Rattus norvegicus: one gene and its partners. The protein of the gene in region 6 purifies or fractionates together with the protein of the main gene of each other region. This does not show direct contact. Links are inferred from orthologs where the notes say so. Each region holds a gene or a part of one and is shown on either strand. Other genes may lie near its edges. The genes, in order: Snrpb2, U2af2, Syncrip, Mrps26, Larp7, Snrnp70 and Gemin5.

Evidence for each region.
Region 1: the proteins of Snrnp70 (region 6) and Snrpb2 purify together in Homo sapiens (affinity purification with mass spectrometry; 5 studies listed by BioGRID and IntAct, counting the BioPlex papers as one, with this or other methods). This does not show direct contact. The link is inferred for Rattus norvegicus from reciprocal best matches to the Homo sapiens genes SNRNP70 and SNRPB2.
Region 2: the proteins of Snrnp70 (region 6) and U2af2 purify together in Homo sapiens (affinity purification with mass spectrometry; 4 studies listed by BioGRID, with this or other methods). This does not show direct contact. The link is inferred for Rattus norvegicus from reciprocal best matches to the Homo sapiens genes SNRNP70 and U2AF2.
Region 3: the proteins of Snrnp70 (region 6) and Syncrip purify together in Homo sapiens (affinity purification with mass spectrometry; 3 studies listed by BioGRID and IntAct, counting the BioPlex papers as one, with this or other methods). This does not show direct contact. The link is inferred for Rattus norvegicus from reciprocal best matches to the Homo sapiens genes SNRNP70 and SYNCRIP.
Region 4: the proteins of Snrnp70 (region 6) and Mrps26 purify together in Homo sapiens (affinity purification with mass spectrometry; 3 studies listed by BioGRID and IntAct, counting the BioPlex papers as one, with this or other methods). This does not show direct contact. The link is inferred for Rattus norvegicus from reciprocal best matches to the Homo sapiens genes SNRNP70 and MRPS26.
Region 5: the proteins of Snrnp70 (region 6) and Larp7 purify together in Homo sapiens (affinity purification with mass spectrometry; 3 studies listed by BioGRID and IntAct, counting the BioPlex papers as one, with this or other methods). This does not show direct contact. The link is inferred for Rattus norvegicus from reciprocal best matches to the Homo sapiens genes SNRNP70 and LARP7.
Region 7: the proteins of Snrnp70 (region 6) and Gemin5 purify together in Homo sapiens (affinity purification with mass spectrometry; 4 studies listed by BioGRID and IntAct, counting the BioPlex papers as one, with this or other methods). This does not show direct contact. The link is inferred for Rattus norvegicus from reciprocal best matches to the Homo sapiens genes SNRNP70 and GEMIN5.

The regions. Positions count from the first base shown.
Region 1 is NC_086021.1:150,851,672-150,855,633, forward strand, and holds the start of Snrpb2 (U2 small nuclear ribonucleoprotein B''), read left to right. Parts: upstream 1-1,162; 5' UTR 1,163-1,190; exon of another isoform or gene 1,191-1,593; coding exon of another isoform or gene 1,594-1,622; exon of another isoform or gene 1,623-1,715; intron 1,716-2,873; coding exon of another isoform or gene 2,874-2,898; coding exon 2,899-2,962; intron 2,963-3,426; coding exon 3,427-3,599; intron 3,600-3,962. UniProt on the Homo sapiens protein: Involved in pre-mRNA splicing as component of the spliceosome. Associated with sn-RNP U2, where it contributes to the binding of stem loop IV of U2 snRNA.
Region 2 is NC_086019.1:77,793,792-77,797,291, reverse strand, and holds part of U2af2 (U2 small nuclear RNA auxiliary factor 2), read left to right. Parts: intron 1-2,177; coding exon 2,178-2,257; intron 2,258-2,331; coding exon 2,332-2,454; intron 2,455-2,726; coding exon 2,727-2,825; intron 2,826-3,054; coding exon 3,055-3,303; intron 3,304-3,500. UniProt on the Homo sapiens protein: Plays a role in pre-mRNA splicing and 3'-end processing. By recruiting PRPF19 and the PRP19C/Prp19 complex/NTC/Nineteen complex to the RNA polymerase II C-terminal domain (CTD), and thereby pre-mRNA, may couple transcription to splicing.
Region 3 is NC_086026.1:98,312,587-98,316,857, forward strand, and holds the start of Syncrip (heterogeneous nuclear ribonucleoprotein Q), read right to left. Parts: upstream 2,801-4,271; 5' UTR 2,294-2,800; intron 998-2,293; 5' UTR 986-997; coding exon 838-985; intron 141-837; coding exon 22-140; intron 1-21. UniProt on the Homo sapiens protein: Heterogenous nuclear ribonucleoprotein (hnRNP) implicated in mRNA processing mechanisms. Component of the CRD-mediated complex that promotes MYC mRNA stability.
Region 4 is NC_086021.1:138,220,870-138,224,487, forward strand, and holds Mrps26 (small ribosomal subunit protein mS26 precursor), read left to right. Parts: upstream 1-1,454; 5' UTR 1,455-1,501; coding exon 1,502-1,713; intron 1,714-1,803; coding exon 1,804-1,950; intron 1,951-2,030; coding exon 2,031-2,154; intron 2,155-2,680; coding exon 2,681-2,800; 3' UTR 2,801-3,118; downstream 3,119-3,618.
Region 5 is NC_086020.1:218,684,509-218,688,780, forward strand, and holds the start of Larp7 (la-related protein 7), read right to left. Parts: upstream 2,801-4,272; 5' UTR 2,691-2,800; intron 2,339-2,690; exon of another isoform or gene 2,217-2,338; coding exon of another isoform or gene 2,200-2,216; intron 1-2,199. UniProt on the Homo sapiens protein: RNA-binding protein that specifically binds distinct small nuclear RNA (snRNAs) and regulates their processing and function.
Region 6 is NC_086019.1:104,992,018-104,995,851, reverse strand, and holds the end of Snrnp70 (U1 small nuclear ribonucleoprotein 70 kDa), read left to right. Parts: intron 1-2,336; coding exon 2,337-2,424; intron 2,425-2,502; coding exon 2,503-3,193; 3' UTR 3,194-3,334; downstream 3,335-3,834. UniProt on the Homo sapiens protein: Component of the spliceosomal U1 snRNP, which is essential for recognition of the pre-mRNA 5' splice-site and the subsequent assembly of the spliceosome. SNRNP70 binds to the loop I region of U1-snRNA.
Region 7 is NC_086028.1:42,826,357-42,829,856, reverse strand, and holds part of Gemin5 (gem-associated protein 5), read left to right. Parts: intron 1-1,684; coding exon 1,685-1,767; intron 1,768-2,675; coding exon 2,676-2,812; intron 2,813-3,500. UniProt on the Homo sapiens protein: The SMN complex catalyzes the assembly of small nuclear ribonucleoproteins (snRNPs), the building blocks of the spliceosome, and thereby plays an important role in the splicing of cellular pre-mRNAs.

The DNA of each region.
Region 1 (3,962 bases), on a different chromosome or scaffold from region 6:
CCTTGCATGTTTATAAATTTTCTTTTTAAAAATAGCTATGACCTCTCGGCCAGATCAGTTTATGTCACACAGGCAGGTTATATCTTATTTCAGCGCTCTCCTTGTAATGAAGCACCAGCAATCAACTGCTCAGATCTTCTCGTTGCTTAGAAATTATTTTATATTTACTTGATGTTCTTTTGGTAAAAACACACTCAATATTCAATATTTACAAAAACCAGACTGGTTTCTTTATCTACACAATTAAAGGACACTTTTCTGTGGTTGTTTAACATTATTTCCTACCCACATTTACAGGATTTTCATTGGCTATCACATTTGATTTAGTATGGCCTAATTTTCACGAAACTTCATTCATTCATTCATTCATCCATTTATTGAGTGTAAGTCATTCTCCTAATTCAGTGAGCAAAGGGGATAAAAATGACTACTCTAAAAACACTATTTCCGTCCTGCAACTTCATGTGGCTTTCAAATATTAGAACACTCAAGCTGATAAAATCAACTGATTTGGTCCCTGACCCAATTTTTAGCCTAGAAAAATCCAGGCATTTTGTGAGGATAAGGTGGGAGAGAGGGCGGGAGTTAACCGTTTCTAAATGAGTTTAGGCATGTGATCCTTAGTTTGCTTTCTCCTGAAATCTGGTGAGAGTACCAGCAAAGACTCACGAATCTCTTTGCTCTAGGGTCGAAGACTGGGCTGCATCTAAGGTGCAATCTGTAGAGTGCTGGAGTGTTCTTTCAGACTCCCATTGATTGACTTCAGGGAGTGACAATGGCAATTCTACAGCTGGTATTAAGCCAAGTTGGGCAGAACCCATAGAAAGGCTTGACTAAGTTGCCGCTGGAGACACGCTCCTGTAAAATTTTTCACATCATAAAGTTGGGAAACTTCAAAGTTTCAGTAATGGAAACGATGCCCTACCCTTCCCTTCTCTGCCTTCACTCCTTGACCGCTGTATCCTAAGTTGATCCCACCCAGTTCTTCCCCTTTCCACTATAACCTCCAGGCTACGGGAATGCGCATGCGCAGAAAGATTCTGCCGCTGGCGACCCTGGCGAGGAGATCTCGATTGAATCGGTGCTCGGCTCTTCGACTTATCTGAGTTCGATTGAGGAGTGTGGCGGTCCTCTTCCGGCGCTGGGAGCCTCTTCCGGCTTTAGCTTCAAGCGGACCGCGCCGGCTTCAGGTGGGTTTGCCGGGGTCTTCCTTGCTGTGGCTGGTCTCGGCCTTTGGTGGGATCTGTCCCGTCCGGACTGAGCCAGCCAGAGCGAAGGTGTCGTTGGTTGCGCGGTTCCGGGCTCCGCGGACGCATGGAAGGAAGGGACGGCGACCCTAGGGCTGGCGGGTTAAGGCCCGGCGTCGTATCCTGTTCTCTGCGGGATGGTTGGATTTTTAATGTCCGAGGACCCTAGTGTTGGGCAGATCAGCAGGTGTTTAAAGAGGCTCGAGCTGACATAGAAATTAGCCCAAGGAGAGAAAATAGCACGTTGCTTGCTTGGAGGCGGGGCAGGGTGTACAGTTCTTTGTGCACTCTCAGTCTCCCTCCGACCGCCGGCAGCCTTTTGGGTTTCAGGTGCCCGCAGGAGCTAATGCCAGAGCCTTTGTTCTTGTCCCTCAGGTGAGACACCAGCCCTTCTCCAGGTTCCCATTTGGGAGGCAAACCTTTGATAAACGTTACTTATCCGTTACCTACATAGTGCAGGCCCTTCCTGTAAGTAACACTCTGATGTTCAGAACAGCTTGTTGTATGACATTGGACACTTGCGTCCTTTAACGTGTAATAGCCATCGATAATAAATAGTAACTTTAGGTGCTTACTGACGCAGACTGCTAGATGTCTGTCTCATAATCTTATGGGCTTCATTTTATAGGCGCAGTTAGTATCCATAATTTGTAACTGAGGACTTGAGACATTAAGGAACTTGCCCCACCTCGAAGCAGGTTGTAAAAGCATAGACAGAACTTGAATCTGTATATTATTGGTACAAGAATATGAGTTCTGAATTATCTTTCTAAACTGTCCATTGAGTTACCTATCTGTCTGTCTGTCTGTCTATCTACACACACATAAATAGATTTGAGGGCTGTCGAGATGGCTTGGCAGGCCTTCTTGATTTTTGCTACTTGACCTTGCCCACTTTGAGTTTGGCTCTTGTGACTCACATAGTGGACGAAGAGACAGAAGTGAAAGCCCCTGAAGAGACAGAAGTGAAAGCCCCTGAAAGGTTGTTCTCTGACCTCACCATACACGATGGCACTAGTAAACACATACATACACACACACACACACACACACACACACACACACACACACACACACTAAACGTTTCAATAAATACATTCGTGAGTGAATCCATGAACTGTGTTTTAATTTGTATTGTTTTATTACAATTTTTTTAAACTACGTGTGTGTTTACTGATCTTTTATAAAATGTTCAACTCATTTTACTGAAAAACTTTTCTGGTGAATATGATCAAAATACATCGTATGACATTCTCAAAGAATTAGTAAGTATACTTTAAAAAGTTACTTCATTCTGTAGATGAAAGGGCAATATCATTTAAGTGGGGCTTAAGAAAGAATAACCTGAATAATGTTTCTAACTCTGCCTATGTGCTGACAGATTCTACCAATTTGTAGAATCTTGGTATTGTTCTACCAGGCTTTGATCTTGGGAGCTATTTTCCATTTGTCTAAAAGAGATGGTTATGAAGTTAGGGAGGAATTACTGTCTACTTCAGCTGACGTTTTCTGATGTCAGTGGTGGAAAAATAATGGATCGGCTAATAGTTGTTGGTTTTGGCTATGCCATAACCTGCATGATTTAACCCTCCTTGCTAATAATAGGTTATTTATTATTTCTTTTAGGCTACTTGAAGAGTTTTACCCAAACATGGATATCAGACCAAATCACACGATTTATATCAACAACATGAATGACAAAATTAAAAAAGAAGGTATGTTCTTTTAAAAACCGCTTTTTCACAACTAACATGCGGTTATTCACTTGTGTCTTAGGAATGGTCTCAGTGTCTCCTTTAGTCATCTTGGTGTTCAACAATGGTTTATCCCATTTTTACACACTTTTAAGAATTTTTAATATAAGAATTTGCAGGGATTGTGTGTTTTGAATGTTTTAATTCACAAGTGGCTTCAAATAACTTTTCTTTTCTTTTCTTTTTTTTTTTTTTTTTTTTTTTTTTTTTGGAGCTGGGGACCGCCTTGAACCCAAGCGCTCTACCACTGAGCTAAATCCCCAACCGGCTTCAAATAACTTTTAATTGGGTAGCCAATGGGAGTAGTGTGTTTTTGCTAAGTCAGTATAAATAAATGAATGGTAAGGGTGCTCATTGTATTGTTATTTTATGAAGAACTTAATTCTTGTTTCCTTCACAAAATGTTTTCTTTCTTGTTTGTACAGAATTGAAGAGATCCCTGTATGCCCTGTTTTCTCAGTTTGGACATGTGGTAGATATTGTGGCTTTAAAGACCATGAAGATGAGAGGGCAGGCTTTTGTTATATTTAAGGAACTGGGCTCATCCACAAATGCTTTGAGACAGTTACAAGGATTTCCATTTTATGGTAAACCAATGGTGAGCTGATCCTATTATTTCTACTGTAGTCATTATTGACCGGTCAATAGATTTTTTTTTTTTTAAGTGAAGAGTTAATACTAAGTTATTGCTTTCTGTGTGTTTGATTTTGTTTGTTTGTTTGTTTGTTTAGAGATTTTAGGGATATTTTGTAGCTATTTTATTTGTTTTGAGAAAGGGTCTCTGGTACCCTAGGCTAGCCTTTAACTTGTTATATTGCCAGGGCTTAATCCTTTAGACTCTACTCCCCAAGTGCTGGGATGATAGGAGTGCACCACCACACAAGGTTTATATGAATATTGTTATAAATACACACTACTACAGCTGAATTAACTGTTAATTTATTCTAGTTAAAATGAGCAA
Region 2 (3,500 bases), about 27 Mb from region 6:
GCCCCCAGTATTGAGATCACAAGCATGTGCCACATCACAGTTTGACATCCTTTTGTAGTAGGTGGAATTGTCATTTCACAGAGGAGGAAAGCCAGCAGTGATGATTAATAATTGTTCTTGGTCGTGTAATTCATAGGTTTCCTGGGCTGCACAGGTTGGCTTCAGAGGGAGTCATAGCTCAGCTTTTGTACTCTTTCATGTTACTTTCTGCTGGAAACCATGTAGATAATGTCACAGTTGCTTTGGATCATGCTGCTAAGGGGCAAGCCTCTTGCACAGTGAGTCTCTGCACCGCTGTGATTAAACAATAGAAAGATCAGTCCTGAGTCTCTTTGGGATGTGCCTGCCTGTGCTTCCACACAAATTTACTACTTTGGAGGTGGTAGCACCAACTGGAATTCTGCCTTCAGGTCCTGGTCTTGTTTTTTGAACTTCCTCTTCCAGAGGAGGAGAACAAAGGTCACTATATAAACTAAAGAGGGAAAGCACTTGATGAAATCTACTGAACGTTGATGATAGAGTTAAAAGATTTGTAAATCGGAAGGCTGACTTTGTCCCTGGTGAGAGAGTAATGGACTGATCACTTAAACTGACATCACCTGTAGTGGAAGCTGAGCTGCATTCCCCCAGAAGTGAGTTCTTAGTCACCAGTGTTAGCTCCTTGTATTCCTGGGATTAAGTGGCACAGAATGCTTCTGTGTGTGCCCTGTTAGTAGTGTGGTCTCCTTGTTTTCTCTGGTGTAGATAGCAAAGAGTTGAAGTCAGGGCAGCTGGGTTGGGCTCTACCTTGTGCTCCCTCTAAGGTAAGGTACAGTGATTACCAGATTGGGCCTGGGGTCCGGTTGCTGCCTTGTTGCTTACTTGTCAGAGACTGCTGCAGAGCCAAGCCTGCTGAGCTGCTTTAGAAGTCACCTTTTTCCTGTCTCAGAACTTAGAACTTTACTTTTTGCTTTAAGTTAGGGCTTTTGTACCTGAGGTAGATTAACTCTTTAATTTTATGTGTATGAGTGTGTGTTGCCTGCATATAAGTATATACTGTATGGATGCCTGGTGTCCAAGGAGGTCAGAAAAGAGAGAGTCAAATTCCCTGGAGCTGGAGTTATGAGTGGTTGTGAGTTATCATGTGGGTGCTGGTAAGCTGAACCTGGGCCCCCTAGAAGAGCAGCAAGTGCTTTTAACTGCTAAGCCATCTCTCCAGGCCCAGATAGGTTTTTAAAGTAGTTGTGCCTGACCTATGACAGTACTGGTTATGGCCTGGCTGTTAATGCTTCTGCTTGTCACAGTTGCACTGTAGCTTAGGTCTGTTGTGGCCTAGGTGACTTGACTACTGGGGTACACTTCTGATGGTTAGAAATAGCTGAATTGATGCCTGCAGTTCTTTGGGGCACATCACACCCTGGAAGACGGATGGGTCACAGTGACCCAGGTTCTGGGGTGTGTCCATTCAGTATCTTGATGCTTTTGCAGATTAGGATGGACCACTGCACTTGGCATGGGGGAGAGCTGGAAAGAGGGAGGTTACTTATAGTGGGACTTTGGAATAGAGAAGTTACGCTGGACTGATGCAGGGGCCTGATAATGACTCTTAAGAATTGAATGATGGTGAAACTTGTGTGGTGTGCTAAGAAGCATCTGGCCATCACTTATATGTGAGTTGAATAGAGAAGAAGGGAGTTTTCCTCAGGTGATACCACTATGTAGTTATATTGGAGCTTTAATGGATCCTGAACACAGCTTCGCAGAGTTGACCACTAGTCATCATGACAGTGGTAGCCAACACTGAGGCATGTTTTGAGACTCTAAGCAGCCTCTCAGCTCCTTGTCACATTACCTCAGAATGCAGGTCACCCCTGCAAGGGCTTATGGACCCTGTGACCTTGAAGGCAAAGGGCTGAACAACAGAAGGAGATGAGATGTTCCTGGGTGGTTGTCAGTTCCTAGGGAATGTTTCATATTCAGTTGTTGATTGGTCAATGCTCATGTACTTGTCAGAATATGGGGGTGGTGTGGCTTCCTCCTACCTTTATTTATATGATATCTTAAGTAGGATAAGACCTGTGAAAGGGCTCGTTGTAGATTTTTTTTTTTTTGAGACTGATTGTTCTGTCTTAGCCTCCCAAGTGCTGAAAAGACACGTGCGTATGTCACCAGTTCCATCTTTCTTCCTTTTGTCTTAGGAGTTGTATCCACTGTAGTCCCAGATTCTGCCCATAAGCTGTTCATCGGGGGCTTGCCCAACTACCTGAATGATGACCAGGTAAATCCTCTGCTCTCTTGCTAGCTACCTTTATCAGCCTGACCAAACCCTGATGAATTTTTGGCCCCTTGCAGGTAAAAGAACTGCTGACATCCTTTGGGCCTCTAAAGGCCTTCAACTTGGTCAAGGATAGTGCCACAGGGCTCTCCAAGGGCTATGCCTTCTGTGAGTACGTGGACATCAACGTTACAGATCAGGTGAGCCCAAGTGTTTAGCTGCTTGCTCCATCTGCCCTTCTTAACCCTACTTCATTTCTTAGCTTAGGGGTCCTTTCCTTGGGCTAGGGTGGGAGGTGTTTAGTGGGGATTCATTTCTTTTCCTTTGGTTTTGCCTCTTTTCAAACTTAAAGGCCCTTTGCCTTCTACTCTTTCCTTGACAATGCCTGGTTCTTTGGGGGAAGTGCTGGGCCCCTTGGTTCCTGACTTGTTCCTTCCCTGCACCCCTTCCACCCTTCATCCTCTGACCATAGGCTATTGCGGGGCTGAATGGGATGCAGCTAGGGGACAAGAAGCTGCTTGTCCAGAGGGCGAGTGTGGGAGCCAAGAATGCCACGCTGGTGAGCCTCCCGGCACGTCATCTTCCATTGGCTAGAGGGACCCTGGGGGTGGGAAGGGTTGGATGGGAAGGTTTTCTTGAGTTCTGCCCCAGTTTTCATGGGAGGGGATTTGGACAATGGGTTCATAAGTGTTTTAAGTAGAGGAATGGTCCCACTAGTTGGGTGTAAGAGGCACAGGCTTGAATGGAGGGAGGCTAGTCTGAGCCATTTTGTGACAAATCTGTTCTCCCTGACCCCACAGAGCACCATCAATCAGACACCTGTGACCCTTCAAGTGCCCGGCCTGATGAGCTCTCAGGTGCAGATGGGCGGTCACCCAACTGAGGTCCTGTGCCTCATGAACATGGTGCTCCCTGAGGAGCTGCTGGACGATGAGGAATATGAGGAAATTGTAGAGGATGTACGAGACGAGTGCAGCAAGTATGGGCTGGTCAAATCCATTGAAATTCCTCGGCCCGTGGATGGCGTCGAGGTGCCTGGCTGCGGAAAGGTCAGGGTGCCTTTATTTTGTGTACACACCCCTTACCACCCTCTGTCCCTCTCAATACCTGTCTAGTTCCGGCCAAGGGTGATGCAGAGGACCCAGAGAGGATCAAGCTCGTTTGGGAGACTGGGGCCTATAGTGGAGAAATTGGTTTCTGTATTGATGTAACTTATTTTTTTTCTTCTTATGTAATCCTTTTGCAA
Region 3 (4,271 bases), on a different chromosome or scaffold from region 6:
ACTGACATTAAATTAACATACCTGAACATGAGAGAGATCACTGTCTTTGAACTGTTGAAGCACTGCCAATGCGCCGTCTTCATTGAACTCTTTTAAAGCTTCGATAGCTCTCTCATCTAAATCACTATGTGCAACTAGCCCTGGAGAAGAAAAAGTTTAGTGAGTTATCATCTTTTAAATTTTCTAAACTATTTCTTCAGAGTCCTGTATTTACCCATACAGGTACACATATGACAATGGTTCTACCTACCCTCCTTATCCTCCCCTCCTCTACATAATGAAACACCTACTTTAGCCATAAGTCCTCTCAACCACAGAAGGAGTCAACCTATTTTACATCCTGTTTTGTGTTCGAGTAGTCCTGAACACTCAATATTTCTACAGTAAATATATAAGCCTACAAATCCTAAAGTCAACCAACAAAACACCAAGCCTAACAACTGAACCTCTCCTCAATGTCAAGTACCACTAGAAAAAAGGAGCCACCACACCGAGAAAGACAAGAGAACTAGCCTAGAGTTACCAAGTTATTAAACAAGAATCATGCTATAAAAATACCTCAAAAAGTCACGTGGGCTGCTCTCAACATTCAGCAGCTGTTGCTACTATCATATACTTATCCATCAGGCCAGACAGCCTTCCCCTAGGGAGGTCTATCCCCTCATTTCATCCCTCCCTCTACACTCTACCTCAAACCTAAATTAACCAACTATCAGAACAAGGCCAAGCTCCAGTTCCCACGTTTATTGGAAACCACAAAAAGTTGCTATTTTAGCTCAAAGTCAGAAATCCAATAGAAAAATTTCATAATGTAATTTTGCAAGTGTTAGTTCTTACCTGCAACGTAAATTTCATCTAGTTTTTCAGCAACTTTCTGTGGTAAACCAGCATCAAGCAATGTCTGAAAATTTTCTGAATGGATAACTGCTGAAGTAGTATCCATGGGCTCTTCAGTACCATTTCCATTAACATGTTCTGTAGCCATGTTTCCAGAGATCTGTTCAAACGCAATAAGCAAAATTAAACTAGGATCTTCAAACAGAATAGAGGACAATGACAGTCCCAATCTTTACTTTCTCTTCCACTTGACTACAACCAGTCAGCCTGAGCCTCCCTTGAAAGAAACCTTAAAGTCACTATCGCCTGACAAGCCAGACTGTGGAGCCCGGGGTACAGAAGGACCGATTCACTATTTTCTTCCTGAGCACCACCCCTCACTTCACCTGCTAACTAACACTCACTGAGAAAAACCTTATTACAAATGAAGCCCAATCAGCACAGCGACCGGCCCAGCCTGCCACACGCAGCACTTCCAAAACGGAGAATAAGGTGTGTGAAGCAAGCAACGCTGGGCTTGTCTCTCTCCAAGGTAAACCAGAAAGTGCGCTTTTCCCGCCTGCCGCTTATAGATCAGTAACAACAGCCAGCGAAGAACAAAGCGCTCACACAAGCCACCTTCCCACCACCCAATTCCTCCACCCTTCACCCCCACACCCCAAAGCCCGCCCCCGACTCCGCACCCGGAGCGGCAGCAACGCCACTGCAGCCGCCAGGAGCCCATTAGAAACACGTGCTCTGCGCCTTCAAATGTCCTACAACTTCCTTCAACGGAAACCCACCGAGTACCAGGCCAAGACCGTCATGACCGCCTCCCAACATCAACCCGCAATCGGGGTCCGAGCCCCCCGAACACTGCAGCCGCACATCTCGCCCCTCAAAAGCGAGGCCGCGGCGGCGCCAGGCCACGGGCTCTCCCCGCCCCCCAGCGCCGCCGTCTCCGCCGTGACACATGGCTCTCCGCCCCGGGCGCTCCCGTGCGCCCGCGACCCCCAGCCTCCCGCACCCCTCGGTGCAGTGGCTGCGGCGCCGAGGCCGACAGCCCGCGCCGGGAGGGCGTTCCGCCGCCAAGCACACGCCCGCGGGAGCCGAGCACCGCCCAAGCCCGCCGGCCGGTCGCGGGACAGCACCCGCGCCTCTCCGCCCACTCCCGCGCCGCCGGCCACGACAGCACCAAGTCCGCCGCCGCTCGCGATCCGCTCGGGCCACGGGGCTGCCGAGGCGCCTCCTCCCGGAGCGCCGCAGACAAAGCCCAGACCCGGCAGCACATGGAGAGGAGGAAGTGGCGGCGCGACCGCGGCCTACTCTCTCGCAGCCCCGGCCAACGTGCTCTTCTCCCCCTTGGAATCCATTTTCCAGAAAAGCCGGTTTCTCCCCGCGCCGCCCTCCCCCAAGCACCCTCCAAAATGTCACGGAGCTCCCCCCTCCCCAACACCCGTGTGCCGGCCGTCGTTACCTCCCCGCGGGGCTGGGGCCGAGGAATCCTGTCCGACCGGGTCGGGTGGCGGGGAACGCGTGCTCGCTGCTCCCTGTGTCCGGCGCGAGTGGAGCTGTTGTAAAATGGCGGCCGAAGCTCACGCCGCTGGCAGCAAACCCGATCCAGTTCCACTCGCCTCCGAGCGCGCTCCCAGTGCGCGCGCGCGCCCCCGCGTGACCCCCCTTCCCTCCCCTCCCTGGCGCGTCCGCTTCTCTCACTCACTCCCTCAGCCCCTGCCCTCCTACAGCTCCTCCTTCTCCCCTTGCCACCTCTGCCGGCCGTGGGCCGCCCTGTCCTCTCGGTCTTCGTCCTTCCTTCCCTGCACCTCCTCCCCCAGCTTTCCCACTCCCGTCCGCGGCCGCTCAAGCACGAGTGGCCGCCCTTCTCCTCGCTGGCTCTCTGGCTCACGCCCTCCCTCGCTAGCTCTCTCGGCCCGTCCCCAGTCCCTGCCGAGTCGCTCTTTCTCTCTCCCGCGCTGACGTGACGACGCAGCCGACGCCTCAGGACGCGCGCCCGTGGGCCCCGCCTCTCGCCCCGCCCCTAGGTGCTGGTAGGGGGGGGAGAGACCCCGCCCTTCCGCCGCGGCGACCGTGAGGGGCCGAGTGAATGGGAGACCCGCCCTCTGTGCGGACACTCCCTCGCGCTCCGCGGGCGGGGCTGCCGGCTGGCTGTGTGTCCCACTCCTTCTTTGTCAGGAGACAAGCATCTCCCCACCCCGTCCTCCCCGCCCCCACCTCCCCACGGCGAGTCGGGGCTCCGAGGGTGCCCGGCGCTGGCTGACCGCTCTGCCCAGGCTGCCACCGCCGCCCCGCGCCCTGGGCGCTCGAGAAGCTGCAGGCGCACGTGTCCCCCGGGGCGGGGCGAGGCGAGGCAGACAATGGGGCTGCGGGGGAGGGGAGCTGCACGGGGGATGGCGGAACTCGGGGCCACCGGGTGGCGGGGCTCGAGTTCGGGAGTCACCCCGGGGAGCCCCGGCTTCCGCCGCTGGACAATGGGGCATCCCGCGGCCCGGCGCGCGCCGTCCTCGGCTTCCACGAATACCCTGGGCAAAGGGAGGGGCGCCGCGGGTTCGCGAGGAAATCCCAGTTCCTCCCACCCGGGGATGACACCGAGGCCAGATTTGGAAGCTTAACCGGCCCGGTGGTGTTGGATTGTGCAATATTCCGTTTCTGTCCCTGGCCTTTTAAGCGGTTAAGTGCTCCTCCTGGCACACTTTGAACAACTTGAAGCAGCAGAAAGCTGCGTGATTAGGACAACTATGAGGAAAATGTGTTTCTTTTCAAGCATCTTGGCAATTAAATGTTCTGTGAAGTGACATTTCCTTTGTAACCATTTACTAGGGACAAGAAAGACAAGACAAAGGCGTTTGTGTCTCAGGCGATATGGATACTAATTTTATGCAGAGCAGCTGTAATGTAAAATAACATCCTGTTTGCAAAAAAGAATACATACATATACATACATATATATACATACATATATTGAGAAAGCTACTGTTTCTAAAAAATCTAACATAGATTTATGCTGTAATAACAAGCCAGTAGTCCAAGGAAAGTTAAATAAACAGTACAAAGTGCCTAAATACATAAAATAGGGCTTTTTTTTTTCTGTTGACAAGTGGACCAAATAGGAAATATTTCTGAAGTACTGTCTACCCAAAATCTGTTTAATACGGCTCTGGCTATCCACCACCTAAATCCCTTACTACGAAACATATCCCTGCTATGGTATTTGATTAATTCAGCAAAATATTGTAGTTTGTACCCCAAAAGTCTGGATAATGATATCAATGAAAAACAACCAAAATGGTAATAGACGGTAGATTAAACAAGGGGAAAACTTTGACACAGTTCTTATTTAATGATCCCTGAATACAAGAGCTCCTTTAAAAGTGCTGCTCCCTAGGCAATGTCAAGAATTTTCCAATTGAAACCTCTCCTCTTCATCTCTGACCTAA
Region 4 (3,618 bases), on a different chromosome or scaffold from region 6:
TCTGTCTGTCTGTCCTTCTACCCATGAACTGCCCAGAAAAGCCTCCTTTCCCAGCTTTGACAATTCTATCTCGCCACCTAGTGGGGAGGGTCACAAATGGACAGTTACTTCCACTTCCCCAACAGGTCAGAGAAAGGGGGCAGAGAACCTGCCTTCTAGTTCTGTAGCATTAGCTACTCAAAATGACTCCACATCTTTCATCCACCGTAGGCCTAAATCTCTTACACTTATGAAACCCTCTGAAAGAAGGATGAGTAGACCTGACCAGCCGAGAGAACGTCAGAGCCAGCAAGGTTAGGAAGCCTCTAGGAATGACCCACACCATAGAAATATTCTCTTTGCGCAGACACTGAAGTTATCTGAAATGAGATACTGGTTATCTAGGATGACCCCGAAGAAGAAAGGTTTAGGACAGGTGTGGTGGTATGTGCCTTTAACCCCAGCATTTAGGAGGCAATGGCAGATGGACCTCTTGTGAGTCTGATATACATTGTAAGTGACAGACCATCCGGAGCTATATAGTGAGACCCTGTTGCAAAGAAAGGATGGGAGTGCCACGTTCCCTGATGTTCAGAGCAACCCTGTGTCACTCCAGGGTAGGGTGAGATGAGAGGAAGAGGGTGCTGGCTGGGCCTCCTACGGGCCTGGAAGTTGGGAGAAGGATGTAAGCAGACTCTGTTCTCTTCTGAGAAAATATCAGGTATTGCAGTCAGCCCAGGCTCCTCAGACCCTCCTAAGTGCAGATTCTCTGCAGAATCTGGTGTTGACAACACTAATGAGTAGGATGAGACTTCAGTTCCCTAGCCCTCACCGTCAGCTTCTGATTACCAACAACTCTCCCAGAGGAGAGCCATCTACCTTTGGGACAGATGCTCTCTGCCCTGCACTGCCGCCTGTTTCTCTTCAATTGTAGAGGAGATAGTACTTTAAAAGCTTCATAAATGGTCTCAAGGTGGGAAGACCCCGGCTCAGGTGAAAGAGGACAAGCGTCACCTCACACAGGCCACCCAGTAGAAAACAAGTGATCACTGATACTGAGAACTCTGGCAATTGCAGAGCTGCCCAAGACCACAACAGGGCAGTGCAATGCAAGGAAAAGGTTTGTTGCTCGATTGCAAACCTAAAGTTTAAAGTGCATCAGGAGAACGCTTACTCAAAGAGGAAGTGTAAGCCTAACTTAAGTAGCTAGAAGCTCAGAATTTCTTGCATCAGCCCTGGAAGGGTACACAGGCCACCGGTGGGCCAGAGAACCACACGCTTTGGGGCGGTGTCCAAGCTTGTGAACAAGTAGGCAAGAGCGCCTGGTGTTGTAGCTGTCATTGGCGGGCAATACAGCCCAGCGAACTGTGGTCTCCAAGGTGCCCCTCGACCCTCCCACTCTACCCGAGACTCCAGGGACGCGATGGGCCAGACAGCAAGAGCTCCGCCTACGGGGGCGGGGACAGGAGATTCCCGTGATGCTCCTCGACCACTTCCGGACAGGGCGCAGGCGCTAGCTGTCATGTTGCGGGCTTTGAACCGCCTGGCCGCGCGGCCCGGGGGCCAGCCCCCAACCCTGCTCCTTCTGCCCGTGCGCGGCCGCAAGACCCGCCACGATCCGCCTGCCAAGTCCAAGGTCGGGCGCGTGAAAATGCCTCCTGCAGTGGACCCTGCGGAATTGTTCGTGTTGACCGAGCGCTACCGACAGTACCGGGAGACGGTGCGCGCTCTCAGGTGTGTGTAAAGGGCAGGCGGCCTTCGGCGCCCCCTGGGAAGTGCTGGGGCTGGAGGATGGGTGCTCACTTGAAGCCCGTCCTCACCCAGGCGAGAGTTCACATTGGAGGTGCGAGGGAAATTGCACGAGGCCCGAGCCGGGGTTCTGGCTGAGCGCAAGGCGCAAGAGGCCATCAGAGAGCACCAGGAGCTGATGGCCTGGAACCGGGAGGAGAACCGGAGACTGCAGGAACTACGGTGCGAGAGGCGCGGGGCTGGGTGGGCTGGGCTAGGCTCACCCACGGCCCCGCTCATTCTCGGCTCCTTTTTCCTCGCAGGATAGCTAGGTTGCAGCTCGAAGCACAGGCCCAGGAGCTGCGGCAGGCTGAGGTCCAGGCCCAGAGGGCCCAGGAGGAGCAGGCTTGGGTGCAACTGAAAGAACAAGAAGTTCTCAAACTGCAGGTGGGCCAAGGTCGTGAGGAATGTGGGTATTGGAGATTCCGGTGAGGGAGGCTCTGGGGAGAGCAGCACAGGGTGTCAAGTGACCAGTCTTCAGGAGGCTTCTCTCTCTGCTCTGCACGCACAGAGTGCCTCCCAGACAATGGTCAATGAAAGGTTACAGGCTAGTATTGCCGTGTGAAACTTGAAGTCAGGGAAACCATAAATGAGAATGGAGCTGTTTTTATTGTGTAAGGGAGAGTGACAAGGTTGAGAGAGTCCACCACCCCGCACCTCCCCCCCCCCCAATCAGGTTGTCACGATTCGATTCGTTCTTGGGTTGTGGCTGAGAGATCTGATGGGTAATTGTCCGAGGAAGAGGGATATAATGGTTGAGGTCACCTAGTACAGTTGTGCTGGCCTATTGGTGGGACACTCAAAGGGGCCCTGGGCTCTTTTGACACCCTTCTTAAGGTGGGCTAGAGACAGTAAGTTATGCAGGCAGCCAGCTCTGAGAGATCCCACGTAGCTAACCTTTCTCTTCCCGTAGGAGGAGGCCAAAAACTTCATCACTCGGGAGAACCTGGAGGCACGGATAGAAGAGGCCTTGGACTCTCCGAAGAGTTATAACTGGGCGGTCACCAAAGAAGGGCAGGTGGTCAGGAACTGAGAACAGAGGCCTCTCAGGCCCAAATAAGGACAGTGCTTGCCTAGGGACTGGATATTGGGGTAGAAATTGGTGCATCCCAGGAGGGTGGCACAGCCTTGTCCAGAGCAGCCCCCATTCATTCTAGATTTGGCACCAGGTATAGTACCCTGTTCTGACACCACATACAAACTCCGGACAGCATTAAACTCTGGGAAGTTCCTATCACACAGAAGATCAGACTGGACTGTCCCCTCTAGAAGCCAAGAGCTGTCTCCTGAGTTTCTTGGAATAGTGTGAGCCCAATGTTTCCTGCTTTTATAAATAAACTATTGGAACGCAAAGCCTTTTGTTATGTGGCTTGCTTTTTTCTTGTTGTAGAATAAGTTTATTTGTCCCCAGTTATTTGGGTCTTTAGGTTATTAGCCAAAAGCCAGTTTCACCTAACTGAGCCAGGAGTTAGTTATCTGCTTTGCTCAATCCTGGGCTTTGCTGGGTAGGGTCAGGTGTGTCCAAGGTCCAGAAAGCAAAAAGGGTGCCCCGTTTCTCCTGGAAGCTCCCCGTCAGTGATTTCTGTAACCGGACCCTGCCCTGACACAGCGTCATTGGACTACCCAGCAGACAGTAGACTCCACTCTAAACCCGCTTCTTGCGGTCAGTTGCTGTCCTTCAGTGTGTGTAAGCAGTGGCCAGACAGCACCCTTGGGTGTCATTTCAAGACTCTCTCACCTTGGTCTGCTTTACGTTTGGTTTGATTTGGTTTGTTCTGGTTTTTGAGACGAGGCCTTTCACTGGAACCTGGCACTCAGTATTTAGACTGCCCAGCCAGCTAGCCTCAGAGA
Region 5 (4,272 bases), on a different chromosome or scaffold from region 6:
CAAAAACTATTTATCATCACTAATGCTAACACTATGATCAACCAAGTTGACCACAAGCCATGTCTGTATGTATTTGGACCAAGTTTTCTCATTATTGTGTTCCAGAAAATGTAGACACAAATCTTATCTATATAATAGTTGCTGTGAAGATGAAATAAAAAAATGTAATTTAAGCACTTTAGAAAATGCAGCTGTGGAGAAGTCTGCAGAGATGCGGTTAAGAACACTTATTGCTCTTGCCCTGGACACACGTTCAGTTCCTAGCACTGACGTCAAAGCTCACAACCTCCTGTAACTCTGGGTCCAAGGGGGGGGGTCCAAAGCATTCTTCTGACTTCTGTGGGCATATGGTGCACAGACAGACATACACACATATATTACATAAGTTAAAAAAAAAAAAAAAAGACTCTCAGGCTGGAGAGACGGCTCAGCAGTTAAGAGCACTGATGCTCTTCCACAGGTCCTGAGTTTAATTCCCAGCAACTACAGGCTGGCTTACAAGCATCTGTAATGGGATCTCTGATGCCCTCTTCTGGTATCAGAAGACAGCTGCAATGTACTCATAAACAAAATAAATAAATCTTAAAAAAAGGGGGGGGGGGGGCTTGCTGTGGAAAGCATGATGCTGTGTTATTTTTTCACCAGTCACTAAATCCTATCAATCTGATCTTCAAAATGGTTCTTATCCACATTTAATGTTTTCTACAACTGCTATTACAACATAATGAGTTTATAATATGCACCAGAAGTCACCTATCCTTTCCAGAAGGATACAGGTGTTACCTGTCCATAACACTGATGTGGTTTGTGAAGGTTATTTCTTATTTTTGGTAATGAGCCTAGCTTTTAATGGCTAAGCCATCTTTCCAGCCCGTGAAGGTTATTCCTTAATTTGCAACATTAGTAATTCCTTATCTTTTTTTTTAGGGGGGGGGGTCTGGTGTATAATATACTGTTAAATGGGTGTGATGTCACACAACTTTAATACCAGCAGCACTCGGGAGGCAGAGGCAGGTGGATCTTTGAGTCTGAGGCTGGCCTGGTCTACAGAGTGAGTTACAGAGCTCAGGAGAGCCAGAGCTAGAGAAACCCTGCCTCCAAACAATCAAACAAACAAGCAAAATCCATCCACAAAACCCACGGTCTCGGAACAAGGAACTTACTGTGTAGCAATGCCAGCTATTCACATACATGGTTTAAATCTTGATTACTTGGTAGTTTCTTTCAACTTTTTTTTTTTTAAAAAAAAGATTTATTATTAAATATAAATGCACTGTAGCTGTCTTCAGACACACCAGAATAGGGGATCAGATCCCGTAACAGATGGTTGTGAGCCACCATGTGGTTGCTGGGAATTGAATTCAGGACGTCTGGAAGAGCAGTTGGGGCTCTTAACCACTGAGCCATCTGTCCAGCCCTTCTTTCAACTTTTTAAGGGAGCCTGAAAGGTTATATACTTTAGTGAAAGCTAGGTAGGTAAGCAAGCATTGATGTTTCTCTTACACTGTCTACCTTTTAGTAGAAGCTTCCCCACCTTGTCACCATCCACAGTATATTCTGACCCAGGAATTCTTAATCTGAAATCCCTGACACTTCTGGGAGTTTAAAGAAACCTTAGGAATCCATGAAATGTTATAAGACAGATTTTTAAAGAAAAGGCAAAAACCATGCTTTCACAAATATAAATGACTATGGCGAATGAACTTAAGTAGGACAAATCCGTTTAAAGGAGAAAGACCAGATCAATATACAATAGAAAGTTGAAATGAATGTTAATATATACTGGTCAGGGAATGACATACTTGGGCAAACATGGTTTTTCATCTTTATGTTTTCAACAAGTTAAAAGTTGTAACATTGCTCAAAGACAGTGAATGTCATAATCTGGATGTAAGCTATGCTACATGTAATAAAAAATTCAAAAAATTTTAAAATCATAGGTTTTGCTTGTAAAGTCACAAACAAAATCTTTCCATTAATACATGTAAAATTTCCAAAGGAACTCGACGATAACATTTTTCAGGATATGAAGAAAAAGAAGTGTACCCAAAAGATTGAGAGCCAAAGTTGTAGTCACAGCAAACCCCTTAGTGGCCTGCAACTTTGCTTCAAATGAATCTTTTAGTGTGAATGTTTTAGCAAGCCATTCGATTTCCCACCACCGCCCAGCTTCTAAAGACTAATAAAAGGTAGTCTTACTTCCTGAGGACTTCCATTTTCAATGAAATCTCCACTCATATTTTCCCTTAGTTTCTCATAAATGTACTCAGAACTTTAATTCATCATTTATCCTCAGGCATTTTCTGTAGAGGGCCGACAGGGTGAAAGACTAGCAAAAGACTTAATTCTAAAATGCAAGTTCTCACAGCTGATGTCCTTGGGCAGACAACCTGTCTACCACCCACAGATCCCCTGAGCAACCCTACTTCCGCAGACTCTTCCAGAAGCCGGGCGTGCCCCAAACACCCCAACACCAAGATCGGCCCGCCCCCTCCGTACTACAATCCGAATTGCAAGGGCCGCCAGGGAACTGCGCGTGCGCACAGAGTACGTAGCCGAACCAACGGAACAGTGGCGAGGGGGGCGGGGTGAACCCGACCACAGATGTAGGATGGACCTCAGGATACCAGACTGAGAGGAGCTTCCACCTCACCCGGTCTGAGAGGATCTACAGGCCACTTGTGACTTACTCCGTGCACGTCCTCAGATCCACGGTCAGCGATTGCGTTCTTCCACGCTTTCCGTCTCCCGACCCTAGCAGGCGGCGGAAATTTGCGTCATCCGACCAGCGACGCGCTTCTCTCAGCCCACTACAGAAGGCCGGGTCCGAGGCTCTGTGTCCGTCACTGACGTCACAGGCGACGCATCTCGGGGGCGGGACCTGGGGGGGTGTGGGAAGCGCGTTGACTGCGCTCGGATGCGGAATTCCATTGGTAGTTTGCGAACGGTGGCGGTGGGGCCTCAGCCGCAACGTCCCTGCTTGATGACGTCTCTCAAGTTCGCGGGAGAAATTCGAAAGTGGAGTTCATGTCATCGAGCAGGTGAAATGGATACTTTCTGGTGTTCTAGGCAATGAAGGGTTAATAGACTGGGCGACTTGGCGCGGTTGGGAGAGCACTGGACGCTGACTTCGCCTCCACAGAAACCGCCCACGAGACGCCGTTAGAATGCAGGGTGAGGCGGTCACTGTCGAGGCCCATCCCGGTTGTGGTTGTTTTTGGGGCTGATAAAGGACCAAGGGTCCATTATTATTTAGTGACACAAAACCTTGATTTGTCAAGTCCTGGCAAGTAAAGCTATGTTTCTTTTAGGTAGTTGTACTGTTATTTGTGGTTTGGAAATTTTACTGGTTTGGGCCGTGCTGTTCTGAGCTACTGTGTCAGCTTTTCTTTAAAAGCAAGGTTATGCCACGGCTTCCTGCTGTTTTCATGGAAAGCTCTCCTCAGCATAACAGAAGATCATATACATCCGATTACTGATGACTCCTGCCTCATCCTCATTCTCTAGTGCTTTCCCTTTTCTATGCTGCTTAAGGATCAGGCCTCTGCGCATACTGTTTCCGGGTTGGGAGCCACCCTTCACTGGTGAGTACTTGTGAGAACAGTGTGTTGGGCTCCAGAGCCAGACTTTCTAATGTAATAGATTAAGAATTGGACCTGAAATGTTACCAGTTAGTAATAGCTAGTTGTCACGTCATGTCCCTGGAACCACTTGTAGATATGTGTGCTCATGTGTGTGTTGCTTTGGCATCGATTTTCAGTTCACCATCGATGATTTCAAGATTTCAAAATTTGACCTTATATTTTTAACCAGTTATCAGGATAGTTAAAGTAGGTGCAGCACCACTGTCTAAGAGATTTCTCTTCCTGGGTGTGCTGGAGTATTGCTTGTAATAGTCCAGCTATTCCAGAGGCCAGAGCAGGACTGTGCAACTTGGCCAGATCCTATTTTAAACACACACAAAGACTGGACACGTGTAAGCACTATTACCTAATTTACGTAAGGCCTTGTCGTCAGCCCTTAGCACTGGGTAAACGAAAGAAAAATTCCTTGCAGAGGAATCGTATGTATATTTGGTCCTAGGATACTTTGCTGTACTGACTAAGGTATAGTTAGCCCTCTATATCTGTAATTTCTGTATCTGTGTTCAGATGGAAAATAGAAAAAAAAACCTGTTAGTACTGTGCATACAGATTTTTTTAAAAGATTTATTTATTATATATAAGTACATGGTAGCTGTCTTCAGACACACCAGAAGAGGGCATCAGATCC
Region 6 (3,834 bases):
TAATATAAATAATAAACTATGAGCCTTCTTCACTCAGATGGAGAGACATTTTAGCCTATGTGAAACTTTGTGCAGAATTTTCCCACATGTAGTGCATAGTGGTATTTGTTATTATTTGTATGAGGTTCTGAGACATGGTCTCAACTGTGAAGCCCAGGGTAGCCTCAAGCTCATGGTGATTTCTCCTGCCTTAGCCTTTAGTGAACAAGCTGTTTGTTTTAACTCAGTTTCTGAGGTTTCAGGCTATGGTTTGACTAGCCCTGTTGCTTTTGGACTTGTGACAGTCAGATATGAAGAGTGGTGGAGGGAAGGAGTTTACCTCCTGTGCAGAAAGTGTTTTATTTTGAAAGATGCTGTAGACATTGTAGCTATGTTTGGCTACTTTGTGGGTTCTTTTTTCTTTCTTTCTTTTTTTTCTCGGAGCTGGGGACCGAACCCAGGGCCTTGCACTTCCTAAGCAAGCGCTCTACCACTGAGCTAAATCCCCAGCCCCTGCTCTTTTTTCAACCCTTATCCTTCCACCCTTTCAACTCCCTAAAACTACATAAGTTGGGGGGGGGGGGATACAGAGGAGTAAAAAGAGATCCCTGAATAAAATCAGGGGTTGAAAAGGACACTTACCTGCTTGCTGATTAGGGGCATTGAGTTCCTTGGGGCAAGTTTGATCTTCACCATTAGGATATATCATTTCTTCTTCTCTTTTCTTTTTGTGCCTAACAATCCAACAACCTACCCTAACCTGACCTCAAGAATTCAAATACCCTCTGAAAAGTTCCCAGAATTCCAAATGTCATACAATCACAGAAGCTTATCTGCAGCTGGCAAAACCATGCCTCTTACAAAGCATGAAGCAAATCCGCTGCTTCAAAGCAGCCCTACATCCTTGCATCTGGGATTAAAAATGAAAATATGTTCTTAGAATATTTCTCTGTGTGTGTGTGTGTGTGTGTGTGTGTGTGTGTGTGTGTGTGTGTGTGTGTGTGTGTGTTTAAAGATCTCTTTATTTTATATATGTGAGTGCATTGTAGCTGTCTTCAGACACACCAGAAGAGGGTATCAGATCCCATTACAGATGGTTGTGAGCCACCATGTGGTTGCTGGGATTTGAACTCAGGACCTCTGGAAAAGCAGTCAGTGCTCTTAACCACTGAGCCATCTCCAACCAAGCCTCGGTGTTTTTTAAAGTAACCCAAATTACAGAATTCTCGCTATAGACTTTTTTTATTGATAATTAATGGCCTAACCTATTGTTAGGCTGTGATCCAGCAGCTAAAGTCTGTGTCCTGCTTTGCAGTAGTCTAACCTGTAATCTATACCTACTTTAACAGCCTAGCATGTGGCTGACTTCTCTTTGCCTGTGCTCCTATGTGAAACACAGGTCCACCTCACTCCTTCCTTGCCAAGTTACTGGGGCCCAGTGGCTCATTAGTCCACCCCATCTGAAGATGAGACTGCCACCTGCTCCCTAGTGCTAGTGTTGTGTACCCAACACCTTCTAGACCAGGTGTTAAATCTGTGCAAGTTTAAAGTCTTTTTGTGGCTTGTCAGAATCTGGGGAGGTGTGGGAGTGCTTTCCTTGAACAGTTGTGGAGTTGCTGATGGCCTCTAACAGTTCAGTGCAGCATGGTGTAGTGTGATGAGCAGGGCAGGGATCTCGAGACTGACAGGGAAGTAGAAGGTACAGAGACAAGGAAAGCAAGGTAAATGTTACATGGCTGACTGATGCGAGCAAGAGGCAGCTGAGAAGGCTGGAAATTTAGGATTCCCTGGGAACCTAGGTATGACAGGTCTTCCAGCTTTTCTGGTATTTGTTGTTTTTTGTTTTTGTTTGGCTGGCCTGAAGCTCACTGTCGGCCAGGCTCCCTCTGCCTCTGAAGTATGGGTTAAAGGGGTGCAATACCAAACCTAGTTACTTTCAGCTTTTCTATAAGTTCATACTTTGGACTTTGTGCTCAAAGTACAAATTGGTAGTGGACTAGGTTGACAAGCTTGGGAGGCAAGAAGGTTCTTGTTCAGGTGTCCCCAGCTCTAGCGTTTTGTGCAAAACCTTGCTGGATAACATGGCTGTCCTACAACCAGCGGACATGGAGATGATTGGCATGAGATTATATATACCCTGTGGCAGTGAGTAGAGGCGCTTGTTTTTTGTCAGCTGTGTAGGCCCCTTTAAGATACTCCCTTTTGGGGTTGGGGATTTAGCTCAGTGGTAGAGCACTTGCCTAGGAAGCGCAAGGCCCTGGGTTCGGTCCCCAGCTCCGAAAAAAAGAACCAAAAAAAGATACTCCCTTTTAAACTGTGTCCACTAACGCTGCCATGTTCCTTTACTTGGCCCACAGGAGGTGGCCTTGGTGGTACCAGAAGAGGTGGGGCAGATGTGAATATCAGGCATTCAGGCCGAGATGACACTTCCCGATATGATGAGAGGTAAGGTTGGGCACCTGGTTTCTTGGGACAGGGCAGTCACAAGGGGGTACCCTTCCATGCAGTGCTAACCTCATATAGGCCGGGCCCCTCCCCGCTTCCACACAGAGACCGGGACCGGGACCGCGAGCGGGAGCGCAGAGAAAGAAGCCGAGAGCGAGACAAGGAGAGAGAAAGGAGACGCTCCCGCTCTCGGGACCGGAGGAGGCGCTCTCGGAGTCGAGACAAGGATGAGCGGCGCCGATCCAGAGAGCGAAGCAAGGACAAAGACAGAGATCGAAAGCGTCGAAGTAGTCGGAGCCGGGAGCGAGCACGCAGGGAGCGGGAGCGAAAAGAGGAGCTTCGAGGCGGAGGAGGAGGTGGTGGTGGTGGTGGTGGTGGCGGCGGCGGAGGCGGTGGAGGCGACATGGCTGAACCCTCTGAAGCTGGTGATGGAGCTCCTGATGATGGGCCTCCTGGAGAGCTTGGCCCTGAAGGCCCTGATGGCCCTGAGGAGAAGGGTCGGGATCGAGACCGGGAGAGGCGTCGAAGTCACCGAAGTGAGAGGGAACGCCGTCGGGACCGAGACCGTGACCGGGATAGAGAGCACAAGCGTGGGGAGCGGGGCAGTGAGCGGGGCAGGGATGAGGCCCGGGGTGGGGGTGGCAGCGGTCAGGACAATGGGCTGGAAGGGCTAGGTAGTGATGGTCGAGACATGTACATGGAGGCCGAGGGTGGGGATGGGTACATGGCCCCAGAGAACGGATATCTGATGGAGGCAGCGCCTGAATGAAGAGGCCTCTGTTGTGGACATGCTCCTGCCTTGCTGTCTGCCTTCCTAGCCTTTCCACCTTGGCTTGCCCTCTGAGGGCAGAGGTTTTTTGTTCTGATCCCTTGGATTTAAGAATAAAATTAATTTCCTGTTGATAGTGGGCACTTGGTGTCTTACTACACTTCATACTGTTCAGCTCCACTTGGTATACTGTTCCTAGTGCGTGTGTTATAACCTGAATTAGAGGCTGTTCTCCCGGCCACCATAGCTGCTTTACAAGTGAGATAGGGAAGCCCTGGCTGCATCTTTCTGAGAGAACAGTAGGCAAAGAGGCAGGGTGCCAGCCATTGACATTTCTGGAGGGATGGAAGACAGCTGGGAGAGTTTTGAGTGTGGCGAGCCCTGAGGAAGCAGTGGCTAGCCTGGCATAACCCTGAAGAAAGGCTGAAGGCAGTCCCATTGAGAGCTGTCTGATAGTACTTCAATCTGCTGCTTAAGGCCCAGTCTTTACATTTAACCAAGGATAGATACCACCAGAGAGCTGAGGAACATCTACCACGGATAGCTGGTCCTGAAAGTGACTTTCACTCGTTGCTGTGTTTCCCACATTTTCAGGTAGGCTTATGGTTTTGCTAAGAGCATCTTACTGCAGAAAGCTTGGA
Region 7 (3,500 bases), on a different chromosome or scaffold from region 6:
TGCAGATCTCCGTGTGTAAATAAACCTGGAGGAGCTCATCGTACTCACTGACTGCACCTGCCCGCTGCCTCCACACCACTGCAGCACCCTGACCTGCTCGCTGTCCCTTATGAAAAGGGCTCGAGAGCCATTCTACTGCAGCACTGCCCTCTTTGCATGTCTTCCCTCCCTCTGCCTTACCTCTCTCGGTCACTTTTCCTTGCTGTGCTAGGGATCTATCATAGTTTTCTACTGATGTAGACACATGACCACGTTAACTTACAAGAGAGAGTTTAACTTGGGATTCTCAGTTCCAGAGGGTGAGTTCATGACCAGCATGGTAGCAGGCAGTCAGGCACGGCACTGAAACAGTAACCGAGAGCTCACATCTTGACCCGCAAACATGAGGCAGAGAGAGCTAACTGGAAATGGTGCTGGCTTTTGAAGCCGCAAAGCTCACCCCCAGTGACACACCTTCATCAAGGCCACACCTTCCTAGACAGTTCCACATAGAATTCATAGCCTATGGGACCACTCTCATTCAGACCGTCAGAAAGTTCCATGGGTGCTAATAATCCAAGTAAAATCCCCAGGTCTGTATGCAGTGCTTTAAGTGTTTGTGTAGAACCTTAACTTTCTCCCTTTTTGCTTAAAAGCTATTTCAAAGGGATATGTAATGAAACAAAATTGTATTGATTTAAGTAGGACTAAATCACCCCATAGGCTGACTAGTCATCCTACTGCTAGTTAAGGTGTGCGTTAAGGTGGAAGATAGCACTGTTAGGTCGTCAAGCTGGGGGGTTTTGGTTGGTTGGTTTGTTTGTTTGTTTGTTTGTTTGTTTGTTTGTTTGTTTGTTTGAGCCAGAAAGATTAGTACCATCTCTCAGAGTGTTCTAAGTGTATCCAATTCTTCAGTAGTAGCATAGCTCTGTCAGCCACAGTTCTGGAGTTCTGAATCCATGCCTAGACTAAGATTGACACTAAGTCATAACAGCACTGCCTTTTCCTAACAAGTCCATCTCCCTAGACACCCCTAAGAGCAAGAGCCCCTGAAAGACAGTAAAAGGCTTTAGTTGTCTTCAGATTTTATGCAGTGTAATAGTGTGATGCTGGCTAGTTGGCTTGGTGGTGTATACCTCTAATCCCAGCATTCAGAAGACAGAGGCAGGTGGACCTCTGTGACTTGCAGGACAGCCAGATCTACATAGCGAGACCCTGTCTCAGAAAGAGTGAGGGGAGCAAATGGCAAAGCATGGAGGTGAAGTGGCCTCTCATCTTCAGCCTGAGGTTGGGTGCTTGTGGTTGTCACAGCCTCTGTACTTTGACATTGCTTTGCTATGGGCTAGACAGAAAAATCATTCTAGGTGGCCCCCTGGGTGGGTAATGCACTAGGGACTTGTTTTGGGAGTGGACATTATTTTTTTTGGGGGGGGGGTTCTTTTTTTCGGAGCTGGGGACCGAACCCAGGGCCTTGCGCTTCCTAGGTAAGCGCTCTACCACTGAGCTAAATCCCCAGCCCCAGGAGTGGACATTATTATATGGTAAGTTAAGTGCTTGCTTTTTAGAACTAACTATTTTGGACAAAGGTAAACTGTTTTTCTCTAATATAAACAACCACATGTATAGGAAAGACCTTTCAGAGGAAGATGGTCTGTTTTCTAGTGGGCCTCTTTCTTCAGATCATCCTGTTTTTCTCCATCCACAGACCTCCACAGATTTCAAGCACATATCATAAGAAGACCGTATATAGGTTGGCTTGGGGGCCACCAGTGCCCCCCATGTCACTTGGTAAGTGTTTGAGTCATTCTTAACAAACATGAGTATATTTTTCCACTTTAATTCTAAAGCCTGAAAGCTGAGGTCATAGATGTTCTAGTATAATCACTCTGTGTGTGTGTGTGTGTGTGTGTGTGTGTGTGTGTGTGTGTGTGTGTGTGTGTGTGTGTGTGAGAGAGAGAGAGAGAGAGAGAGAGTATCAGACATAGGTGGTCTTGATGGCTAAAGGAAAGCCTTGACTCGTGCCTCCCTCAACTCTGAAGTATTGCTTTTCTCTTTGAGCTGGGTCTTCCACGGTTCAGAGTAACCTGAGGCTAGGTGCTGGCCTCTGTCATTGCTGAGGCCTGTATCTTTCTCTTCTGTAGCCCTGCCTCTCCTTTTCCCACCCTGGCCACTGCTCCTTTCCCTAACATAGTATGACTTTCTTATCTTTAAAATGAGTCAGAAGTTTCCACACTCTGGCTTACTGTGCTGAAGTGGCTGGATTCCTTAGCTGTAGTCTTATGCAGAGAGTTGCCTTGCAAATAGGACAGCTCATAACTAAGGGCTGTGCCTTGAGACCTCTCCCTAGTTGTGGGAAGTTCTGCATTCTATGTCTGTACAAACATTAAGAATCATTTCTGGAAGAAAAACGACTTGGTCATTTGAGACCATGACGTTTCCTCTGGTCACATCTTTAGTGTCACTGCTCCTGAATGTCAGAAAGCCTGTACAGTGAACACAGTATCTCAGAAGTTAATGATACCTTTTCATCTGCCCACCCTGTCTAGATTGGTAGGAGGGTGGCTTTGTCCCATCGTGCTGGATCACTTCCCACACTAAGCCGTATTCGTGTTCACAATGCTGCACTGTGTTAACGACGTGCTGTGGAAGCGGTGTGGTGAAGCGAGACACTTCACTCAAGAGTTTTTCTTTCATAGGAGGGGAAGGAGACAGGCCTTCCCTCACCTTGTACAGCTGTGGAGGGGAAGGCATTGTGCTGCAGCATAATCCCTGGAAGCTCAGTGGAGAGGCCTTTGACATCAACAAACTCATGAGAGACACCAACTCCATTAGAGTAAGTTCCAGTGGGCTGAAGCCCACTCAACCTCCTTTGGTGTTTCAAGGCCATCTGTAATGATGCCCATCATGCTCAGCCAGACTTCTCAGACAGTTGATTGAGCTACTGGGGAATTTGTGGGCTGCCTGCTCTCCCTTACAAGTCATTATCATTGAGTAGAGCAAAGAATTAAGTGGAGGGGAGCAGCTTAATTGCAATGATGATAAAAAAAATCTTATGTATCTTCACTGTAAAGTGGCCTTTTTGTTTTCTTTTTAGATGTTTCTTTTTGAGACAGGGTTCACCGTATGTAGTCATGGATGGCATGGGACTCACTATGTAGGTAGCTGGCCTCAAATTCAGAGATTAGCCTGCCTTTGCTTCCTAAGCGCTGGGAGTAAAGACAAGCGTCCTTTTGAAGCTTCCCCTTTCAACTAGAGTGCTCTGCTGACAGTGACAGTGTGTGGTTGTGCTCAGGCCTCATCTGCTCTTTTCTTTCGAAGCCCAGGCTGGCTTCAGTTTCCTGATCCTCCTCCTCAGCCTCCCAAGTGCTGAGCAATACACAAGCCCAGCAATACAGAGAACTCTTGGGTCTTCTGCCTAGGCCCACACATTGAATTACATTTGTTTTAACTTTGTGTCAGTGGATTTGAATGACTTGACTAGGTTTGTTCTCTCCCTCCCCTCACCATCACCCCTGCCCTCT